2 linked regions of the Diceros bicornis minor genome follow. The protein of the gene in region 1 purifies or fractionates together with the protein of each later gene. This does not show direct contact. Links are inferred from orthologs where the notes say so. Each region holds a gene or a part of one and is shown on either strand. Other genes may lie near its edges. The genes, in order: PDHB and PDHX.

Region 1 (10,635 bases):
GAGCTTTGGGGAGGAAAAAAGAAAGAAAAGAGAGGAAGATTGGCAACAGATGTTAGCTCAGGGTGAATCTTTCCCAGCAAAAAAAAGGAAGAAAGAAAGGGAGATAACAGACATATACACTTATACACATATATATACACATACACAGAGAGCCCTCCTCTAAATACACAGGACTGAGTCATAGCCGCTGCTGTGGCAGGGGGAGGGGAGGAAGTAAGGTTCAGGGGCAGGAAGGGCGATTACTTTATTTCTTTCTGTACTACTTGAATTTTTTTCCCACAACAGGATAAATTTCCTATTTGAAAACATTTTTTAAATTAAAAATGAAATAGAAAACATAAGTGCATATGGATATATGGGAAAGAAATATGCAAAAATTCTAAAAGATATTTTACTCAGAAGTGGGATATAGAGTTTCCTTTTGGGAAAATGAAAAAAGTTCTGGAGATGGATGGTGGTGGTGGTTGAACAACAGTGTGAATGTATCTAATGCCACTGAACTGTACACTTAAAAATGGTTAAAACGGTAAATTTTATGTTTGCATATTTTACCACAATAAAAAACAATCTAATTAGTATATGAGCAAAAGACTTGAACAGACACTTCACCAAAGATGGATGGCAAGTAAACACATGAAAAGATGTTCAATATCCTTAAACATTAGGGAAATATAAATTAAAGTCATGAGGGATACTACCACACATCTATTAGAATGGCTAAAATGAAAAATATTGATAATATCAGGTTCTGGCAAGGATCCAGAGCAACTGGATATCTGATACATTTGTGGAGGTAACATAAAATGGTAGAGCCACCCTGGAAAAACAGCTTGGCAATTTCTTAAAGGTTAAACACACACCTAACATACAGTTGTACTGCTGGGTATTTACCTGAAGAAATGTTAAACTTATGCTCACACAAAACCCCGCAAACCAATGTTCATGGCAGCTTTATTAATAGCTTAAAACTAGATACAACCCAAATGTCCTTCAATGAATGAATGAGTAAAGTGATATAGCCATTCAACTAGTAAGCCATAAAAAAGAAAGAAATGTTGATACACGCAAACACTTGAATGGATCAAGGGCATTAGGCTGAGTGACAATAGCTAATCTCAACGAGTTACATATTGTATGATTCCATGTATAAAACACTCTTGAAATAACAAATTATAGTGATTGAGAACAGATCAGTGATTGCCAGGAGTTAGGGGTGGGGGAGGGTGTGACTTTGAGGAAACACGAGGAGTTCTTTCTGGTGATGGAAAAATTTTGTATTCTGATTGTGGTAGTGGTTACATGAATCTGTACACGTGATAAAATTCTATAGTACTATACACATACACACACAAAAGAATGCATATAAAAACTGGTGAAAGCTGAATAAAGTCTCTATCCAAGTTAATAGTATTGTACCAGTGTCAGTTTCTGGGTTTTGACAATGTGTATGGTTATAAAAGATATTATCATTTGGCAAATCTGGGTGAAGGGTGCATGGAAATTCTTTGTACTATTTTTGCAACTTCTCGTGAGTTTTAAAGTCTTACAAAAGAAAAAATCAGAAGAAAAAAATAGGAGTAAACTATTGATACTTAACAACAACGAGGGGCGGGCCCCGTGGCTTAGCGGTTAAGTGCGCGTGCTCCGCTGCTGGTGGCCGGGGTTCAGATCCCGGGCGCGCACCAACGCACCGCTTCTCCGGCCATGCTGAGGCCGCGTCCCACATGCAGCAACTAGAAGGATGTGCAACTATGACATACAACTATCTACTGGGGCTTTGGGGGAAAAAATAAATAAATAAAATTATAAAAAAAAAAACAAGGAGGAATCTCAAACACATTTTGCTGAGCTAACGCAGCCAGATACAAAAGGGTATACACCGTCCAACTCCATTTATTTCAAGTTCTAAAACAGGCAAAGGAAAATACGATGATGGAAATCAGATCTGTGATTGCCTGTGGGGTGATGTGTGGGGAATGATCGGGAGGAGACATGAGGGAACTTTCTGGGGTGACGGAAATGTGCATTTTACTGTATTTAAGTTACACCTAAGAAGGTAGAAGGAGTGAAAAGCCCCCTTTAATAAACCTTGTTTGCAATGACAAAAAAAGTTGGTCATGTCCATAGATATCGAAAACTGGACAAAGGACTTTCTGACAACTGACAAACCAAAGTGACTTGAGGACAAATGTTCCTATAACTTTGGAAAGATTTCATTCCAAGAGAGAAATGGCCTGATTGGCCAATATATACTTTCCAATCCCTTTCTGTAAACTCTAGTGAGCATATGAATGTAGACTTTTTGAAATGATTATGGATTTAAAATTCACACTTTTATCTTTTGTGTCTTCTACACTTAAGGGAAATTCGTGCCTAGCTTTTCCAAACTGGCCATTTATAGAGTTTGAAAGGAAAGCCCATGTACCAATGAATATACCTAATGTATTTGAAATGCCCACAGCCATCATTTCAAAAGAAGATTTTCAGCTGAGGCCAGCTGAGTCCTGTGGAGTTGCACTGTCTTCCTGACTGAGCTGGCCAGACTAGCTGCACAGACTGAGTGTTCCTGGCGATTTTGGATCTCTGTATAAATATGGCCCCAGAACACTCTCCTTTGTCTAGACAAAACAGTCCAGATTCTGGCTTCTCTTTGGGTCATTCTTCCTTCACTTCGAGATCTCCTTTTGCTTTGTAATTTTAATCCCGAAGTCTTGCAGTGCTGGGTGGTGGGAGAGCTGACTCACATTTTCATTCTAAGCAGAATCCAGTGTCCACACAAATAATCCATAATCAATCTATAAATCAAAATTGGGGGTGAATTTATTACCAGCCTGGTCTGAGAACTATAACCCAGGGAGCTTCCTTCCCCAAGGAAGGAAGCAAACCTAAGAAATGGAGTGTACAGAGTGGTTATATACTGCCTTGGAACAAACAGCATACATCACATATGATAGGAATATCTCTTTTACTACTGTCACAAGATGCTTAGCTGGCACAGCAGGTCAGTGGTCAGCAGGTCAATGGTCACGAGGTGAGCATAACAGATTGGTAATTAATCCTTAGTTTCTAGGAAGAGATGCTTATCCTTAAGGAAATGCCAATGTGGGGCGAAGCTACATCCCTATCTTTAATGGCATCATTCTTATCTTTGGGAAATTATAAATATTTAAAGCAGATGTACAATGCATGCTCAACAGGCCACATCAGGCACTTTGGAAAAACAAAGTCAAGTCAAATTAGTTTTAAATCAAATGGCTTCTTCATATACTCCAATATGTCCTATTGATTTTCATTTATTTTTCACCAGGATTCCCTGACGGCTGACATCTCAAATTCAGGGGTTTCTCAGGGATGCTGGGGCTGTGGGGAAGTGCTGAGGTTTCCTGCCAAGGACTGAAGGGACTAGATGGTGGCACCAGGTGAGGGAGACACGGAAGGTCTTGACTCCATACCTTAGAGACTATCTCTCCATTTTACAGATGATGAAGCAGAGGCCCAGAGATTAAAGGCCATCTCTATGCAGCTGTCCCCAAATTTATATTTCTAGCCCTACCTAGCCTCAAGCTCCAGACTCCTCTATCCAACCTGGGTATGGCCCAGTCATCTAAACTCAGCTTGTTCAGAATAGACTCTTAACCTCCCACCTGGTCCCAGGCTCCACCCCTCCCCCATCCACCCAACAACAACAAAAAACCCGAAATCTTCCCCAACTCTTCCCTTCCCTCACAGCAATCCTACTGATTCTAGTCCCAAATAGATCTCAAATCTGTCCCTTCCTCTTCACCCTGAAACGGCCCCCTAGTCCAGCTCTCTCTCTGCCTAACACTCCCTGGGGTGTCCCTGCTTTTGCCCTCATCCTCCACCTCATTCTCCCTCACCAAGCAGATCTAGTCACTTCCTTGTGGCACCTGGAGCCCTTAGATACAACCCAGACTCTGAGGTTGCAGACCAGCAGCATGCAGCCCACAGAAGGTTTTTGTCTGGAATGTCTTGGAGATAAGTGAGGACTGAGGGAGTCCCCAGTGGTCCCGCCTGACCCCCAAGGGTCGAACGGAGACCAATGAGAGGAAGCTTCCAGATGCTGCCCCTAGTCAAGTATTTGGCTTCATACGGTCCTCTCTAAATGCAAGTTGTTGTAACCTCCTCCCAGGCGGGACCCCAACTTCTGCCTCAGAAAGCAATGGGAAAAGTCAGACAGTCCTAAATTAAAATCCCGGCTCATTTAACCAATCTGCTTCAGTTTACCCATCTGCGAAATGGAGATAATAATAACAAAATTACCTGAGAGGGTTCCTCTAAGAATTAAATGAGCTGTAAATAAAGCACTTCCCTACAATACCTGGCATGCAGTAGGCGCTTAATGCGCCAGTGAAAGCTCTTGTTCGCATTCTAAGGGACCAACAGACATTGCTGTCCAGAGAAAAGTAGGATCGCTCATAATGCAGTAAGTGCCGCGCCACTGGAGTGTGTGCAAGCGCTACTTGGTGCCCAAAGGATTTCAGTGCCCGCAGAAGGCTGGCCCTCTAGCCTCGAGTTATGCTCCTTAGTGTCTGACTTGTGGTCCCCGCGCTTCATCCCACACCACCCAGGGACGTGTCCCCAGCGTGCAGTCCGCATGTCAGCCGCAGCGCACTCTCAATAAAGTTCACTGAAGTCGCCGGAGCAAGTGCGGCAGGCCCAGCCCAAGCGCCACCTCGGCCCCGCCCCTCGGCCCCTCACCCGGGGAGGGGATGGGCGGGGCACGCAGGCGTCGCGCCCTGCTATTGGCCGGTGCCGGCGGGGGAGGCGGGGCCTGGCGCCCCCGCGGCCCCGCTGTGTTGTCATTCGGCGGCCGCTAGAGGACACGGTCAAGATGGCGGCGGTATCTGGGCTGGTGCGGAGACCCCTGGAGCAGGTAGGCAGCGGCGCGCGGGCCCCGGGACCCTGCGCGATCCCTGCCCACCTTGCGTCCCCTCTGAGCGTCCTCTCTCTCTCCCCGCCAGGTCTCCGGGTTCCTGAGGAGACGCTTTCACCGGACGGCGCCGGCGGCGCTACAGGTAACTGGCCTGGACGCTAGCCGGGGCGTGGAGGGGCCCCTGGTCCCGCGGCGGAGGCCGGGGTCGCGCCTGCGCTGTGGCGGGTGGGCACCGAGGGCAGAGGGTGGCCGCGGGCGTTGGGCGTCTACCGAGTCCCGCGTCGGACTGGTGCTGCCTCTGTGATGGCCAGTCCCCAATCACAGCAGCATGTCACCCCCGCGAGGCTCACTGGAATCAGATGGGCGATCTGAGGAAACGAGACTACGCTTCTTCCCTGACCCCCTTTTATTAATTTTTTATTGTGGCAAAATATACATAACATAAAACTTACCGTTTTAAAGTGCATCTTGAGCGGCGCTAAGTATGTTCACCATGTTGTGCAACCATCATCACATTCATCTCCAGAACTTTATCATCATCCCAAACAGAAACTGTGCCCACTAAACAATAACTCCCATTTCCCCTTAGCCGCTGGTAACCTCTGTTGTACTTTGTGTGTCTATGAATTTATCTATTCTAGGTACCTCCTGTAAGTGGAATCATACATTAGTCCTTTTATACCTGGCTTATTTCACTTATGTGTTTTCAAGGTTCATTCATGTTATAGCAGGTGTCAGAAGTCCCTTCCTTTTTAAGGCTGAATAATAGTCCATTGTATGCGTATACCACATTTTATTTATCCATTCCTCTGTTGATGGACATTTGGTTGCTTCCACTTTTTGGATTTGAGAATAATGCTGCTGTGAACGTTGGTGTGCAAGTATGAGTCTCTACTTGGGTATATTATCTAGAACGGGAATTGTCAGATCATATTGTAATTCTGTGTTCTACGTTTTGAGGAATTCCCCCCTCCTTTTATTTTTTATTGGAGAATTCTACCAACCTGTATAGTAAAATAACTCCTAGATCCTGAAGGCAAAGTGTTTGGCAGTGCCTGGCACCTAGTGAGTTGTCAGTATGTAGTATTATTTATGCTTTCTTGACAGTTCTCTGCCCCACAGTACACCACGTGTGGAAATAAAACAAACCACTATACTTTCTACTTGGGAAACTGCCTATGAGCTGGTCTGGCCAGCAAGCAGATTTTTTAAGCTTAGGTGCACGTCAAGAAAAGTGTTCAGTAAACTTCTCATTAACACATCCAACCAAAGACTGGCTGTGTGTGATAGAAATGTTACTTTTAGAATTCTTTGAACTTTTAAAGAGAAACCTGTTCCAGTGGTAATTTTTATATGGTATGCTATGGACAGCCTAGGTGATTATAAAGAGAGAGACTCTCAATAGTATCCTAAATAATCCTTTAGCTTATTGACTGTTTTCCCATACCTGTGACAGGTGACAGTTCGTGAGGCTATAAATCAAGGTATGGATGAGGAGCTGGAAAGAGATGAGAAGGTGTTTCTTCTTGGGGAAGAAGTTGCCCAGTATGATGGGGCATACAAGGTAACCAAGATACGGGAAAGCTATACAAAACTGAGGTGGCCGTTTGCCCCCAGATACACTTAAAAGTAATGGGGTCAATGCTTAATTGTAGGTTAGTCGAGGCCTGTGGAAGAAATATGGAGATAAGAGGATCATAGACACGCCCATATCTGAGGTGAGCCTTCCATCAGGAAGCTGACTTTTGAGGGGCATGTCTATTAAAGTGTACGCTGTTATAATTTCTATGGATTTTCACTTATGTTTGTGTTTTACTTTATAGATGGGCTTTGCTGGAATTGCTGTAGGGGCAGCTATGGTATGTAATCCTCTTTATGAATCTGATCCAAAGAAATTCTTTTAACATGACCTTTTAAAAACGTTTGAATGTTGGAAGAGCGGAGGGGTTGTTTGCCACTCTTCATTGCTGTTTTTAACATCTGTGTTTTTTATTTGACAGGCTGGATTGCGGCCCATTTGTGAATTTATGACCTTCAATTTTTCTATGCAAGCCATTGACCAGGTTATAAACTCTGCTGCCAAGACCTACTACATGTCAGGGGGCCTTCAGCCTGTGCCCATAGTCTTCAGGGGGCCCAATGGCGCCTCAGCCGGCGTAGCTGCCCAGCACTCACAGTGCTTTGCTGCCTGGTATGGGCACTGCCCAGGCTTAAAGGTGGTCAGCCCCTGGAATTCAGAGGATGCAAAAGGACTTATTAAATCAGCCATTCGGGATAACAATCCAGGTCAGCAGAGTAAGCCTTGGGTCTCTTTTGAACATTAAAGAACTAAAGTGAGGGCCGGCCCCGTGGCTTAGCAGTTGGGTGCGCGCGCTCCGCTGCTGGCGGCTCAGATTCGGATCCCGGGCATGCACAGACGCACCATTTCTCCGGCCATGCTGAGGCTGCGTCCCACATACAGCAACTAGAAGGATGTGCAGCTATGATATACAACTATTGACTGGGGCTTTGGGGAAGAAAAATAAATAAATAGAATTAAAAAAGAAAAAGAACTAAAGTGAAATCTTTGCATGGAAGGAACCATTAAAGTCTTCTAGTTAGGCTTAGACATATCATATAAATGTTAATGATGTAGAGATAGAATAAAAATAGTAAAAAATGTTTTTCTTATTTCTGACTATAAGGGGGCCAGTAAGGTATAGGAAACATTTACTACACACTTACAACGCTGGTTTAACCTCAATAGATAAAATTAGGATTGACCAGACTACAAATATCAGTACCTAAACCATCTTCAAGGCTGCTGGCCAAGATAGATAGATACAAGGCTTCCTAATCAGCACAGTGAAACTTTTCACAAAATGAATAATAATGTTGTGTATACATTTTTAGTCATGTAGTTACTTTTGTTTATATTTTGCAGTGGTGATGCTAGAGAATGAATTGATGTATGGAGTTCCTTTTGAACTTTCCTCAGAAGCTCAGTCAAAAGATTTTCTGGTTCCTATTGGAAAAGCCAAAATAGAAAGGCAAGGTAAGAGAATTTAGTATACATTTAAACATTATTTGTAATCCAGCCCTTCTGTTTATGTTGGTCAAATTCAATCTAGAGGTTATTGCCCTTTGCTTTGACTAGGAAGTTATAGGATGAGTTCAAGTTAAGGATGTGTCATGCCCTGATTGCTCATACACTTGTGCGTTTCTAAATATCAGTCTGGTAGATTTTTGTTTCATTTCTAGGAAGGCTGCTACACTCCTCACTGGAATGAAGTTGAGTTGAAGATTTTACAAATGAACAAGAGCCACAGCTGTCTGCAGAGTGGTACAGCGCCTTTAGTTTCAACCTGACCTCTGATCTGTGACCACTTTGTTTCAGGGACACACATAACTGTAGTTTCCCATTCAAGACCTGTGGGCCACTGCTTAGAAGCTGCAACAGTGCTGTCTAAAGAGGGAATTGAATGTGAGGTGAGTGGACATTCACTTGTTCTTACAGAATCAGAAAGGTTCTTTTTAAATTTAAGACCCAGAAATTAGAGTTTGAGTTCTGTAACAGGTTAACTAGATGTAAAATCTTGCTTTGTCCCTCAGTTCTGCCTCTGCTTGAAGCTGGGGACCTATTTGCTTTTCACACACCTAACTTTTTACCACTTGGTTCTGGATCTTCTAGAATAGTACGTGCTTTTGCAAGTTAAGCTCCAACCTGGGAGCTGGGGGTTGGGAGAAGGGGAAACTGAGAAGTCAGTGAGTCTAACCTTTTCATATTCAGGACCTACCACTTGCTAGTTACACTTGGGCAAGTTATGTACTCTGAGTCTCGGTTTCATCAGCCATAAAATGGGGATAATATATTTTCTGTCCCATCAGGGTGGTTGTGAGAATTACACTTAGTGTAGTATCTGGTACACAGTAAGCAGGCAAATGTTAGTTATTAATTATTTTGGTGAGAAGGAAGTTAGAGCCAAGGGAAGATGAGTGAATTTAGTAAGTTAGAGCTACTTTTGGTAGAAATCAAGCATTTTGTTTTAATTACAATTTCCCCTTTTACATTTTGTTCATGAATAGGCAGGTTAGATTTTCCTAGACCCAAAGATTAATTGGAAACAAAAAAGGAAGTGGTATTGGGATAAGACTATATTTGTGATGTAGTGGCTCTATTATTATGTTATCTGTTTAGGTGATAAATATGCGAACCATCAGACCAATGGACATTGAAACAATAGAAGCCAGCGTCATGAAGACCAATCATCTTGTAACTGTGGAAGGAGGCTGGCCACAGTTTGGAGTGGGAGCTGAAATCTGTGCCAGGATCATGGAAGGTATTTCAGAGAAACGGGTTGTAGAATAGTCAAACTGTAATAAACTTTGTGTACCTGGATACTGGATAAAGAGAGCAAAAGCTAGGGGTGGCCAAACGACTTGAACTTTCAACTTGTAACTTTGGCATTTTTCCTTTGGGTAAATGTGTAAAAAAGCAAAGCCAGAAACAGTTCCCCATAATTAGCATTCCTTTAGATTTTCCCTCTTCCTTGGGCACCCACACCTTTTGTGCCAAGGTAGTGGTGCTCAGCTGGCTTTTCTTGCCTCTCTCAGTTCAGCCTCCTTCTCTTCTAGGCCCTGCATTCAATTTTCTGGATGCTCCTGCAGTTCGTGTCACCGGTGCTGATGTCCCTATGCCTTATGCAAAGATTCTAGAAGACAACTCTGTACCTCAGGTTAAAGACATCATATTTGCAATAAAGAAAACATTAAATATCTAGTTTGGACTTGAATACCAAGGCATTGAGATTTATTTAAAATACTTGCTGACACTTCACCTGGAGTGTACTCTAAGACCTTGTGATTCATAAAGTTATCTCTAAAGCAACATGTTTTTGTACTGGGAAGAAGTTTAAATGTGCTTGTATGTGGAAAAACTCTCCCCTCTCCTTCCCTAGACTCCATGCTTTTTTTTGTCTGTTATAATGGCCATGTTCTTTGAATGAGACTAATGTAAAATTGACCCTCTCACTAGAAGGACAAGGTGTGCAGGTGGCAGAGTCCTGATGAAAGATATACCAAAAAAGACAACTTATGTGTAAAAATAAAAGCATATAATCTACATTTACTGTTAAATTGTTTTGATAAGGAATAAAGGAATCCCTAACCATGACTAATTGTATTTTTATATTCTTGAAGTAATAAATGTGAGGTGGAGTCTTAAAATTCCATTAAGAAATAAGTGCCATCAGGAACTAATCACTAATCATTAATCACCTAGACTGCATCACACTTAGAACAGGAACTTGCCCACAGACTCTTCAAATGCCTAATTCTAACAGGGTGCCCTTTAAAATTATTAGGGTATTTTTCCCATTGCCAAAAAACAGACATTCTGCCATACTCTTCCCCTCTTCAGAAGTTGAGATGGAAAAGGCAGGTTTAAGTTAGTTACAGACGTGTACAACTGGTACCTAACTTAAAGACCAAGACAGGATTGTTAGCTCTTATTACTTAAGAGGGAAAATATGACACAAAAGAAATAGAGATAGGATAGGCAAGAAGGAAACTTTAGAAATACTGTCTGGATCTTTTTTTTTTTTGGTGAGGAAGATCAGCCCTGAGCTAACATCTGCCAGTCCAGTCCTCCTCTTTTTTGCTGAGGAAGACTGGCCCTGGGCTAACATCCATGCCCATCTTCCTCCACTTTATAGGGGACGCCCCCGTCTGGAATGCGAACCGGCAAACCCCGGGCCACCAAA
Region 2 (10,635 bases), on another chromosome or scaffold:
TCAAAACTGAGGCTCACACTAAATATCAGAAAAGCACCTTAGCTGACTGTCATGCAAAGGTAGCAACAACAGAATCTTAAAGGTTATGACACATGTGGATGAAGTCCATTCTGCTTCTCTTGCAAAAAAAAAAAACTGACCTCTCATTGCCATACTTTTGCCATTCTGATGTCCTTGTAACAGGGCAACAGTCTGCTCCTGAATCAGAGAAATTAAGGTGGGTAAACAATGTCTGTAAATTCAACAAACAGCTGGGGCTATGGAAAACCCAAGATGGCCACTTGGTTCTTCCTGCCTCCCTGGGAAACCCCACTTTCTCATTTTTACATTCCGTCCCCGCCACAGTGCATTATGAAAAAGTATTCGGCCCCCAGAGGCCTCAGACCTCCTCCCTCTGGGGCCTTTGAGCACACGCAGCTGGACTGCATTCACATGCTACTTAGTATTGGTTATCATCATGTTCTTGTTATTGTATGTATGTTTTCCGGATGGGTTAAAGCCCTCCCTTGCTACAAAGCTGACGCCCTCATGATGGCACAGAAACTGCTAGAAAATGTATTTCCCACTTGGGAAGGTATAGACTTTCTAGCATCCAGTGATCGAGGCACCCACTTCACTGGGAAAATCATATAAACCTTAAGGAAACCTTTTCAAACTTCTTGGAATTATTACTATTCCTATCACCCTCAATCATCAGGCAAAGTTGAGAAAACTAATGGAAAAACTGGATTCAAGCAGAAAAAACATTAAATTACATGGGACTACGTGAGCTAAGAAAGATGCTCTAATGTTTTGTTTTTCCAGATTTAAAGAAATGTTTTCGGGCCAGCCCCGTGGCTTGGTGGTTAAGTGCGCGTGCTCCGATGCTGGTGGCCCGGGTTCGGATCCCAGGCGTGCACCAAGGCACCACTTCTCCGTCCATCCTGAGGCCGAGTCCCACATACAGCAACTAGAAGGATGTGCAGCTATGACATACAACTATCTACTGGGGATTTGGGGGGAAAAAATAAATAAAATCTAAAAAAAAAAGAAATGTTTTCTTTTAAGCTATCAACAATTTGGTAAGACATACCTTTGTGAACATAGATGAAACATTTACTTTTCCTCCCTACCTGATCCGCCAGAATTCAGAAACTCTGAGAGTAGTTTTATTTCCACTTGTATAAAAAATCAGGCCAAGTTTTTAATATAAACAAATTAGTCTTGCTGTGATTATTTTGGTAAAAAATGAGGATAACTGTAGAGATAAAAATTACGTGTGCACCCTTATAAATATTAGATTCTAGTCCTGTTAATTGTCTTCAGGTTTTGTTATATATCTATAGACTAGACTCCCCTGGCCTAAGGTATTGCCTTTGGCCTCGCCAACTGTTTGAAGTACCCTCTTTGGAAAATACAAACTAATGTTACATGAGACAGTTACCAGCAGATCAGTGTCTACGGGTACATAACTTTCTGCTGATCCCCTGTTGTCTTATGCTAATATGGCCAGCCAGCGTAAGTCTCTACTGTTTTATGCTCAAGCCTATCAGCAACAGATTCCAATTTAAAGGGTCCTGTTGGTCAGAGTGCAGAGCCTGGTGACCGGGGATTCTGGAAGCATCATGAGAGGAAGACAGCCCTCAAGCCCCATTGGAAAGGGCCTTGCCAAGTGCTCCTGACTGCTGACACTGCTGCAGAACTAGAAAGCATTGCATGCTGCATGCCCCTCTTTGGGTACAACTTTGTGTCTGGTTACTACGAGGAAGCATGAGCTTATGAACATCCAGACAGCTGGCACACGAAAGGATAATGCCTTTTACGACACCATAATATTCCATTTCAAGTTCTTGTTAAAGGAAAAAAATCCAACCACAATCTCATAGGTTTAGGCGAGGCTTGGCAACCCCTTTTTACACCTCATCTACTCTCTACTGGTTACCAGTGCTGAAGGGTTTGTCCCTTGGATTGATGTTATCCATAATGACCTGTTGACAAAATTTTATCCCTAACCACAGCTACACTGGCAAATTCTACTGCTCAAGCCTTGGCTCAACAACGATCCCTGGACTCCCTAAGGGGGACTGTATTAACTCCCTAAGGGGGATTATATCAGATAACCCAAGGGCTCTTGATATCCTAACTGCTCAACAAGGGAGTACTTGCGCACTCCTGGGAGAAGAATGTTGCTTCTACGTAAATGAGTCTGTGGGAGTGGAGAAGAATGTTGCTTCTACGTAAATGAGTCTGGTCACATAAACCAAGAGTTAAAGGTCATAAAAGATAATATAAATGTCCTCAGCGATACAGGTCATACTACTGGCTACCTGGACCACTTTAACCTGTTTGGTTGGTTACCCTCTGGCCTCGAGCTCTTTTGAGATCAGGGTTCCAGGCCCTAGTAATGATTATTGTTCTGGTTTGTTCAATTTTTCCTGCTTGAAACTTCTAATGATTTGCATTTCATGATACTGCATATTTGTGTCCACTGCCAGAGTAATGATTGCTCAGCGACTTGAGATGACTGACCAATCCTGCAACTCTGAACAAAGGACTTGACACTTTTTCCAGGTAGAAACTAGACCTAGGACTCAATTCGTGACTGCCTCCTCATTGCTCACATATGGCCAAAGCCCCTGACTGCATTACTCCTACTAATGATCGAGCACCGGCTACCAGGGACATGACTCCCCAGGAATGAGCCTTCCTGGCAACGAGGGAAACATCAATATATCAAAGGGTTGATCCGTGATGCTTTCTGCTACAAGATCTTGACCAAAAGGGGGAAATGTGGATAGCAATAACAAAATGGAATACCACATGTCAAGGCTTCTACAATGGAGCGGGGAGGCCACGAAGGAAATGGGGCTCATGTACGCACACATGTCTACCCAGACCGAAGGTAACTTTTGAACTGTGCTTCATTGCTGTCATCTTGACCTCTCAAGAGCTATGCTTACTCCTACAGATATGAACTTTCTGCCCTAGAGATGACCTTACCAATCACGGATAGCTAAGAAATAGCAGTTGTTGCCGGAACCAATCACAAATTTTGCAAACAACCCGTGTGATTTCTCTCTTTCTGCCTTTATAATCCCCTCCCTCCTTTGTCTTCCTTGGAGCACATTTTGGGTTTTAGCCTGAACCTGTGTCTCCTGAATTGCAATTCTATTGCCCAAATAAATATCTGCCGCTCTTGGAATTGTCATTCCTTCCCAATGTAGTCGGCATTGACAAGTATTTCACAATAAAATCTCCCGCATGTTATTACTTTTTAATTGAGACCTTCAACCCTAAGAACACCAGGAGCAATGAGGGGGCTAATTTTAGGAGGCTTTCCCGGCTCTTTAGCAGGGCTTCTCACGCTGCCTTGTAACTGTTCACTGCTCTAGTTTTCCTCTACACCCCAGGCCACTTGCCTTAATCACTACTGTATCCTTGAGCCCCTAGAAGGGTCCCATAAAACCGTTAGTGTGTATAAGTGAGTGAAAAGTATACACAGCCCGAGGCTGGATTTCCCTTTAACGTCTGCTTAAGGAAGAAGCGCTTCTGCGATCACCCCATAATCAACCTAAACTGAGGCAGGCAGAGAGCAATGCCCAGAGGAAACGTGCGGGTACCGAGGCCCGCGCTTCCGAGTGCCCCTGCGGCCCACCGTCGGGCTGGGCGCCAGGGCAGGGGGCGAGCTCGAGGCCAGGCCCAGCTCCAGCGCACCGGCGCGCTTCACCTCGCCGTGCGGCCCGTCCTCCCGACAAGTCTTTAGGACACGCGGGAGACGCCCAGCGGCCTCCTCGCTCCGCTACTTCACCCCCTCCGGCCTTCGGTGCCCCCGCCCGCCGTCGGAGAGCCGGACCGCCCGGCGCCCTGCCCCACGCCGGCACGCGGAGCGCCCCGCAGCCCCCACCTCCTCGGAGCCCAGGGCACCGGCGGCCCCGCCCTACCTGCGCGCCGCCTCGCCGAGAGCAGCAGTCTCCCTCCGGAGCGCGACAGCCAGACATGGCCGGACCAGTGGACCCCGGCCTCCAGCCCTACCTGAGTCGCTCCCGGCGCTGCAAGCGGGCTCGCGTGCGGCGCCGCAACGCCACCAGGCGGCGCCGGGGGCAGCCCCGGGGGCGGCGCGGACGAGGCGGGAGGCGGGAGGCGGGAGGCGGGAGGCGGGCCCGGGGGCCTCGCAAACCGCAGATCCCGCGGCGCTGCCGCCTGTGGAGGCGGGGGCCACCGCGGCGGGAGGAATCGGCCGGCGCCCAGGGGGCGTGGCCACTGGCCGGGAGGCGGTCCCGGGCGGGCCTGATGACTGGGCCTTCAGGCGGTGCTTCGGGCAGCCCGCGAGAAGGCCGGGAAGATGGCGGCCACCTGGAGGCTGGGCTGTGACCCCCGGGTTCTGCGCTGCGTCTTGGGCTTTAGCGGCCGCCGAGGCACGGGAGTGCTTACGGGGGCTGCCGGGTGGTCTGTCGGCCGCGGAGCTGGTTGGAGATGGCTTCACAGCACGCAGTGGCTGCAGGGTGAGTGGCTGGGGCTTTCTCTGCTCCTCTGTGTAGCTGAGCGGGGGGCCTCGGCAGGGGCTTTTTGATTGAGGGCCTGCGTCTGGGTGTGGAGGTACCGGGACTTCCTGACCCCCGGCCTTTTCTCGGGGACGGCTCCGCTAACTTGGTTTGGTGCATGCCGCGAAGGGCTTTCTTGGGAGCTGGGGGAACTTGACTCTGTCCCTGGTCCCCTGGTTGGGATGGCTTCTCTGTGACCTTGCCTTGGAATTTGGGTTATTTGTGAGGCGCGCAGAGAGGTCCTCAATGCTCTTCTCGCAGGCCCCTTCCCAGTCGCGTCTCAGGTTGCTTTAGGGTTGTCAAGCATTTCGGATAGGGAAAAGCTGCTTCAGGTTGCTGAGATTCAAAAGCCGCTCACTTTTAGCTGTCCTTCTTCATCCTCTTGGGCCATCTCTATTTGAGATTTTCGAGGCCACTCAGGTTGCCCCACGCTGCGACTAGTGGAGGACTTAGTTTGTAAATTTGCCCATGGCATCACAGATATAGGTCTGGGAGAATGTTTTAAGCAAAACATGCATTTGGAATAGTGAAAGTTTGGAAGGGGAATCGTCTCAAGAAATTTATCATAGAAAGTTGACATTTACTAATGATATCGACACAACACAAGGCTTCAAGTATTTAACGGTATGTAGTATATAGTATGCCGGGCATTATTTTTCTTTACATGGGAGTCGGTCGGGGAGCTAGGACCCACAATTTTTGTGTGTTACATATGACCTGCTAATCATCATTCTGGAGCTCTACAGAATGAATTTTAATCTAAAAAATTAGGTGCAGTCGGCATTGTCTACATATTCTAAGCTGCCTGAGGCTCAGGAAAAAAAAAAAGTTGCAGCCACACGGTAGGATGAGTGCACTGAGATTTTTAAAGATTCGGCAATGGGAACAATTTATTTCAGTTTCTTCAGCTTAATGTTTCATAAAATACTCCTTGGAGCAGTGGTTTTTTATCTGTGTAGGGAATTCCCTGTCCTTTCTCCCCCAAGTTTGTTAAATATTGCACTTTCCTACAGTTCTCAGAGATTCTGTCTGGGGTGGAGCTCAGCAATCTGCATTTTACAAACTACCTTAGGTGAGTTTTGATATTTTATGTTGGTGTTTGGTGGGCTACCCTTTGAGACTCACTGTCTTAGAAAATCACGGAATAGTAAAAGCTCAGTGTTGCGAATAATCTAGGAAAAGTGTTCTTAACCTTGATTGTAAAACAGATCCTTTTGAGAATCTTTGAATGCTCTAGAACTTCTCTGGGATTTTCCTTACACGTAATGTAAGGACTTTTGCCTTTAGAAACTCACTTAGGCAATCTTTATCTGATGCATCATGACATTTTACCCACCCCCACACACACCATGAACAACTTTTCTAACTCTGCTCGAACGTCATTTGTAAGGGAGAGGACACTACATCCCAAGGAAGCTGTCATAGTTTCCCAGTGCCTCCCTCTTTCAGTTAGAAGGACCCTTGTGATTACATTGGGCCCACCTGGATAATTCAGGATGCTCGCCCCATCTCAAGATCAGCTGTTTAGTAACCTTAATTCCTTCTTCAGCCTGGATTCCCCTTTGCCGTGTAGCATAACGTATTCACAGCTTCTGGATGTTAGGACTAGATGTCTTAGAAGGGCAGGGGGCATTATTCTGCCTACCACAGAAGCTGACTATGTTGTTGGCTAGCTCTAAGTTATTTGGAAATTTTGGATTTTTTTCCTAATACTGAGTCAAAATTTGCCTGACTTTTCACCGACAGGTTTTTGTTTTGCCATGCCAAATACACATGGCAATCCTTGAACTGTTTGTTTTACAAAGCATAGATTTATACCGTGTTTGTTTGTTTTTCTCTGAGCTTGGTAGAAAGTGTAGTTTCATAAAACTAAGCAATTATTTGGTAATCTACAGACTATATGAATTAAGTACAATTATTGAACTATTTCCTCTTTCACATGTCTATCCAGGATTTAAAAATCTGTCCGTTGGGAGTACACTTGGAGTTTTGGTTTCCTTAGGAGGTGTTTGTTGGCAGCATTTTAATGAGCTATGACATATGCCATGTGCTTAGCGCTTCCTGGAACACCTTACTCCTCACAACAACCTAGTAAAGTTGGCATTATCTGCATTTTACTGTACAAAAGTACTAAGGCCCAGAGAAATTAAGTAGATCTCCCAAAGCCACACAGCATAATATTAATGCAATGAAAAGAAGAAAAAAAAAAAAATATATATATATAATTTGTGTCTATGTTTAACAAGTCCCTAACTTGTTTCATTCTTTCCACTGAAGCGTTTATTGCGAGGGCAGAGACTGTTGTTCACCATTCTACTGATACTGAGTGAAAAAAGGAGCATTCATTGTTAGGCATACGGTGGCCTGCTTGGGAGGTAGTTGACCTACTGAACAGAACATATGCTCTGTATTCTGGCCCAGGACCCATTTAGTCACATTTACCTTCTGGAGCCACAATACTGAATCCTGTATAGGCCTTATCCTTAAGGTATTAATAGTCTGCCTGGGGAGATCAACATTAAGGGCTGATTTCTGTGCTGTGTGCAGTGAGCTCTGTGGGGTAAACTTAGGATGATAAGGGACTACATAAGAAGGCTTCCTAGGGGTGACAGCCCTTCCAGGCTGAAAGAATAGCAGATTTAAAGGCCCAGAGGCCAGATGGGATATTTACATAAGTGACATAGCATTTGTAAACAGTTTATCAGCCTACCCGAGGCAGTTAACTTGGAAGAGTTTCCGTTGCTACTCTCTCAGAGTAAATGGCATGGTTTGGAATTTAATTAATAATAAGATGTTAATTGATAATATGATTTTAAGTTGTCTCTGAGAAATAACATCTTGAATTTAAAATGACATTTAGGTGGAAAAATAGTTGAGGTTCAATCTTTGTAGTGCTTTGCCTGTTATATAACCACAGACCTTGTGCATGTAGATGTTAAATAAACATATCTAGGGAAGCGAAAAATCGAGGAATTTATAAAAGGACACAGAGGTCTATAATCGAGGAATTTATAAAAGGACACAGAGGTCTATAGTAGGATTGCAAGTTGACAGCCAGTGAACTGACTCTACATCATGTTAGAAGAAAATTACATTTATTGACAACATTTAAAACTAGGAACTGCACATAAAAATCTAGATTTTTGTCTTCTCTTGAAAATTTAAAGTTAGGGCCTATATGGTGACAGTTGGTTGAGACTGAGGAATGATTATTATCTTTAGGTAGGAAATTCTTCTAATTTACTACTGTCCCCTCTACTCTCTGTTACCTCTCAGTCAACAAGGCTGAATGTCCCTTGGTATTTGTCATCACCTCTAGTTGTCATTCTTTTCTTATACCCTTGTCTTTATGGAAAGCAGAAAACAAGAGATAGACCAGGAAAAATGGGAGAGAGCAGATATTGTGGGTATGTATGTAAAGGAAGAAAATTCCTGTAGATTTAATATGAAAATAAAGCATGTCTGGATCTAAAGAGAAACTTTAAGATGCTGCTAGCCCACTTCTCTCTCCTCCTATTCCCTGTAGGCATCTACATTTTTGACAGCAGTTCTATAACAAGGAGGCAACTTCTTTGATAGGAGTTGATGGTATGGTATTTCTGCCAAAACGTGGATACCATTTTAGGCCTGGTGCTTATCAAATCCTTCTACACCGATACTGATGAGACTGATCCCGTTCTTTGAATTCTCCGTTAACTTTGGAGACAGGAATACGTAGACCAGCTGAAGCAAAAATAGGAATTATTAGAGGAGTACACCACCACGTAGATGAAGGGCTGGCTACTTGGGCCATGGGGGAACCATGACGATTCCATCCATTTCTTCTAGGGCTCCCATTGTCTGTCTTCTCTCTTTCTCTGATTTGCTTTTCTCCGCAGACTTGCCAGTCTGCCTACTCATGGCTTTTCTCTCTCTGTAATGTCAGCTTGCCTTGCCTTCATGCTGATTCAGGCCCTTATGCTCCATGCTCTTTCAGTTTAGTTCGAGTGTGCACCGTCATTTCTGTGACCTAGTTCCAGGTTCCCTGGATAGGGAAGCTGATGACCCAGTGTGGGTCAGTTGTGGTTTAGGGCACACAGGGCTGATTCCTTCAAAGCCTGCAGTTTGGACGTCTTCTTTGAAAAGGAAGTATCAGTTGGGAATCAGTGATTGGCATGTCTGTTACTACGACAGTCTGATTAAACTAAGACAGTGGTGAAGTGCTTCTTCATTTTAATTGTTTCTAGGATAAGTAATGACTAAGCAAAATGTATGATCACCTAAGCAAAACAGATCTAGGCTCCTCAGTAGTTGAGATGTGTGGCCATGGAAGGAGATAAATGAGATCTTAGTAGAAGCAGCTGCGTGAGAAACTAGTACGATTTGGATTATCAGGAAGTACTTAGTACATATTTGCATTGCTTTAAAACATTTCGTTCTGTGTATGAAAGTGGGACATTCCAAGTAGCCATCACATTTTGAGCACTGAGTATTTGTCAGGCTTCGTTTTGGATTCTTTACTTGCATTACTTCTGATCATCATAAGAAGCCTGCAAGGGTTAGTTGTGTTTTACAGGTGAAGAAATAGAGACTCAGTGAAGATTACTGTGTGGCCAAGGTTAGTGAGTAAGTGGATGACTGCTTTGGAACTATGCACATACTATACTAGTATCCAGAGGAAGAAAAGAGGTCCTTTCTTGTTGGATATTTTAGAATGAATTGACTTGGACTAATCAAGGGGCTTGGTACTATAGACTGAATATTTGTGTGCCCCCCCCCCCAATTCATATGTTGCAACCTAATGCCCACTGTTTTGCTATTAGGAAGTGGGGGCCTTTGGGAGGTGCTTAGGTCATGATGGGAGCCCTCATGAATGGGATTAGTGCCCTTATAAAAGAGACCCTGCAAAGCTCCCTAGCCCCTTCCACCATGGGAGGACACAGCGAGAAGGCATTGTCTATGAACTGGGGAGTGGGCCCTCATCAGCCACCACACCAAACCTGCCAGCATCATGATCTTGGACTTCCTAGCCTCCAGACTGGGAGAAGTCAGTGTTGTTTATAAGCCACCAGTCTCAGGCATTTGTTATAGCAGTCTGAACAGACTGAGACACGAGGTAATGAGGTCACTCACTCAGAGCATGTATTCACAAGAAAGGTATACAGCTAACAAAATTAGGGCTCTGCCAGCAAGAAAGAAGTTGGAGGAGTGGGTTTGGGAATAATGAGTAGCATTTATTGAGACCTTACTGTGTACTATGCACCCTTCTCAGCACTTGACGTGAATTAACTCATTTAGCATTCGCAGCAGCTAATGCTGTGCTCGAGATAGAACTCCAATTTCAGCCCAGGTCTGCCTGACAACCAAAGCCTGTTTCCTTAACCTTAACCGCCATCTACCTCAGTGTGATAGCTTGGCTATAGACGTCAGCATAGCAGTGTCAGCTTGCTGAAGTTTTGTTCGCCATGTGTATATTCTGTTTTACCCCTCTGCTTTTTTTTGTTTCATGAAGTGAGACATGGTTTACTAATGTTTACATTGTGAAATAGTATTTCAGTGACAGTGACAGTAATGTTATTACATCATTTTAGAACAATTTAAGATACTAAAAATCTAGACTGTGTATAAAGGGTGGCAGGACCATTTAAGAGAGTTATAACATGTTAATATCCCCCATCTGTAAGTTTCTAAGATGATGTACTCTTAAATATGCCTTATTGTTGTCTTGAACTTCATTTGCTTTTTACAGCAAAATGTGTAAATCCCCAAACTATTATGCACGTGTTCATTCTTTTGCTAGACTCTTAAGTGGAGTAGTGATTTCTTTTTGCCGTTGTTCCAAGATTGCAAAATAAACTGAGATTCATGTAGAGTCTTAATTTTATACTTTAATACTTAGAAGACCAGTGTTGTAAGCTGAAACCTCTTCTGAAGTGTTTGGTTTGTCTCACTCAGAGGAAATAGTTCTGCAGCCATAGACTACCTAGCACTTCAGCCAGCCCTTACAAATGTACCATTGGACACTAAGTGTGTGAAAGGATCAACAGATTCCGTAAACCAATGATCTACTCAGTACCTTTCTGCAATCAAGGACTTACATGAATTTCAATTACATGAAACTTTTCTAGGGAAGAAT

The links.
Region 2: the proteins of PDHB (region 1) and PDHX purify together in Homo sapiens (affinity purification with mass spectrometry; 4 studies listed by BioGRID and IntAct, counting the BioPlex papers as one, with this or other methods). This does not show direct contact. The link is inferred for Diceros bicornis minor from reciprocal best matches to the Homo sapiens genes PDHB and PDHX.

What each region holds. Positions count from the first base shown.
Region 1 is NC_080741.1:58,306,952-58,317,586, reverse strand, and holds PDHB (pyruvate dehydrogenase E1 component subunit beta, mitochondrial), read left to right. Parts: upstream 1-4,823; 5' UTR 4,824-4,852; coding exon 4,853-4,894; intron 4,895-4,982; coding exon 4,983-5,036; intron 5,037-6,350; coding exon 6,351-6,458; intron 6,459-6,549; coding exon 6,550-6,612; intron 6,613-6,717; coding exon 6,718-6,753; intron 6,754-6,894; coding exon 6,895-7,180; intron 7,181-7,817; coding exon 7,818-7,928; intron 7,929-8,270; coding exon 8,271-8,362; intron 8,363-9,071; coding exon 9,072-9,213; intron 9,214-9,508; coding exon 9,509-9,654; 3' UTR 9,655-10,046; downstream 10,047-10,635. UniProt on the Homo sapiens protein: The pyruvate dehydrogenase complex catalyzes the overall conversion of pyruvate to acetyl-CoA and CO(2), and thereby links the glycolytic pathway to the tricarboxylic cycle.
Region 2 is NC_080770.1:33,541,729-33,552,363, reverse strand, and holds the start of PDHX (pyruvate dehydrogenase protein X component, mitochondrial), read left to right. Parts: upstream 1-4,306; 5' UTR 4,307-4,321; coding exon 4,322-4,481; intron 4,482-10,635. Other genes in the region: APIP (methylthioribulose-1-phosphate dehydratase), read right to left, coding at 3,921-3,977.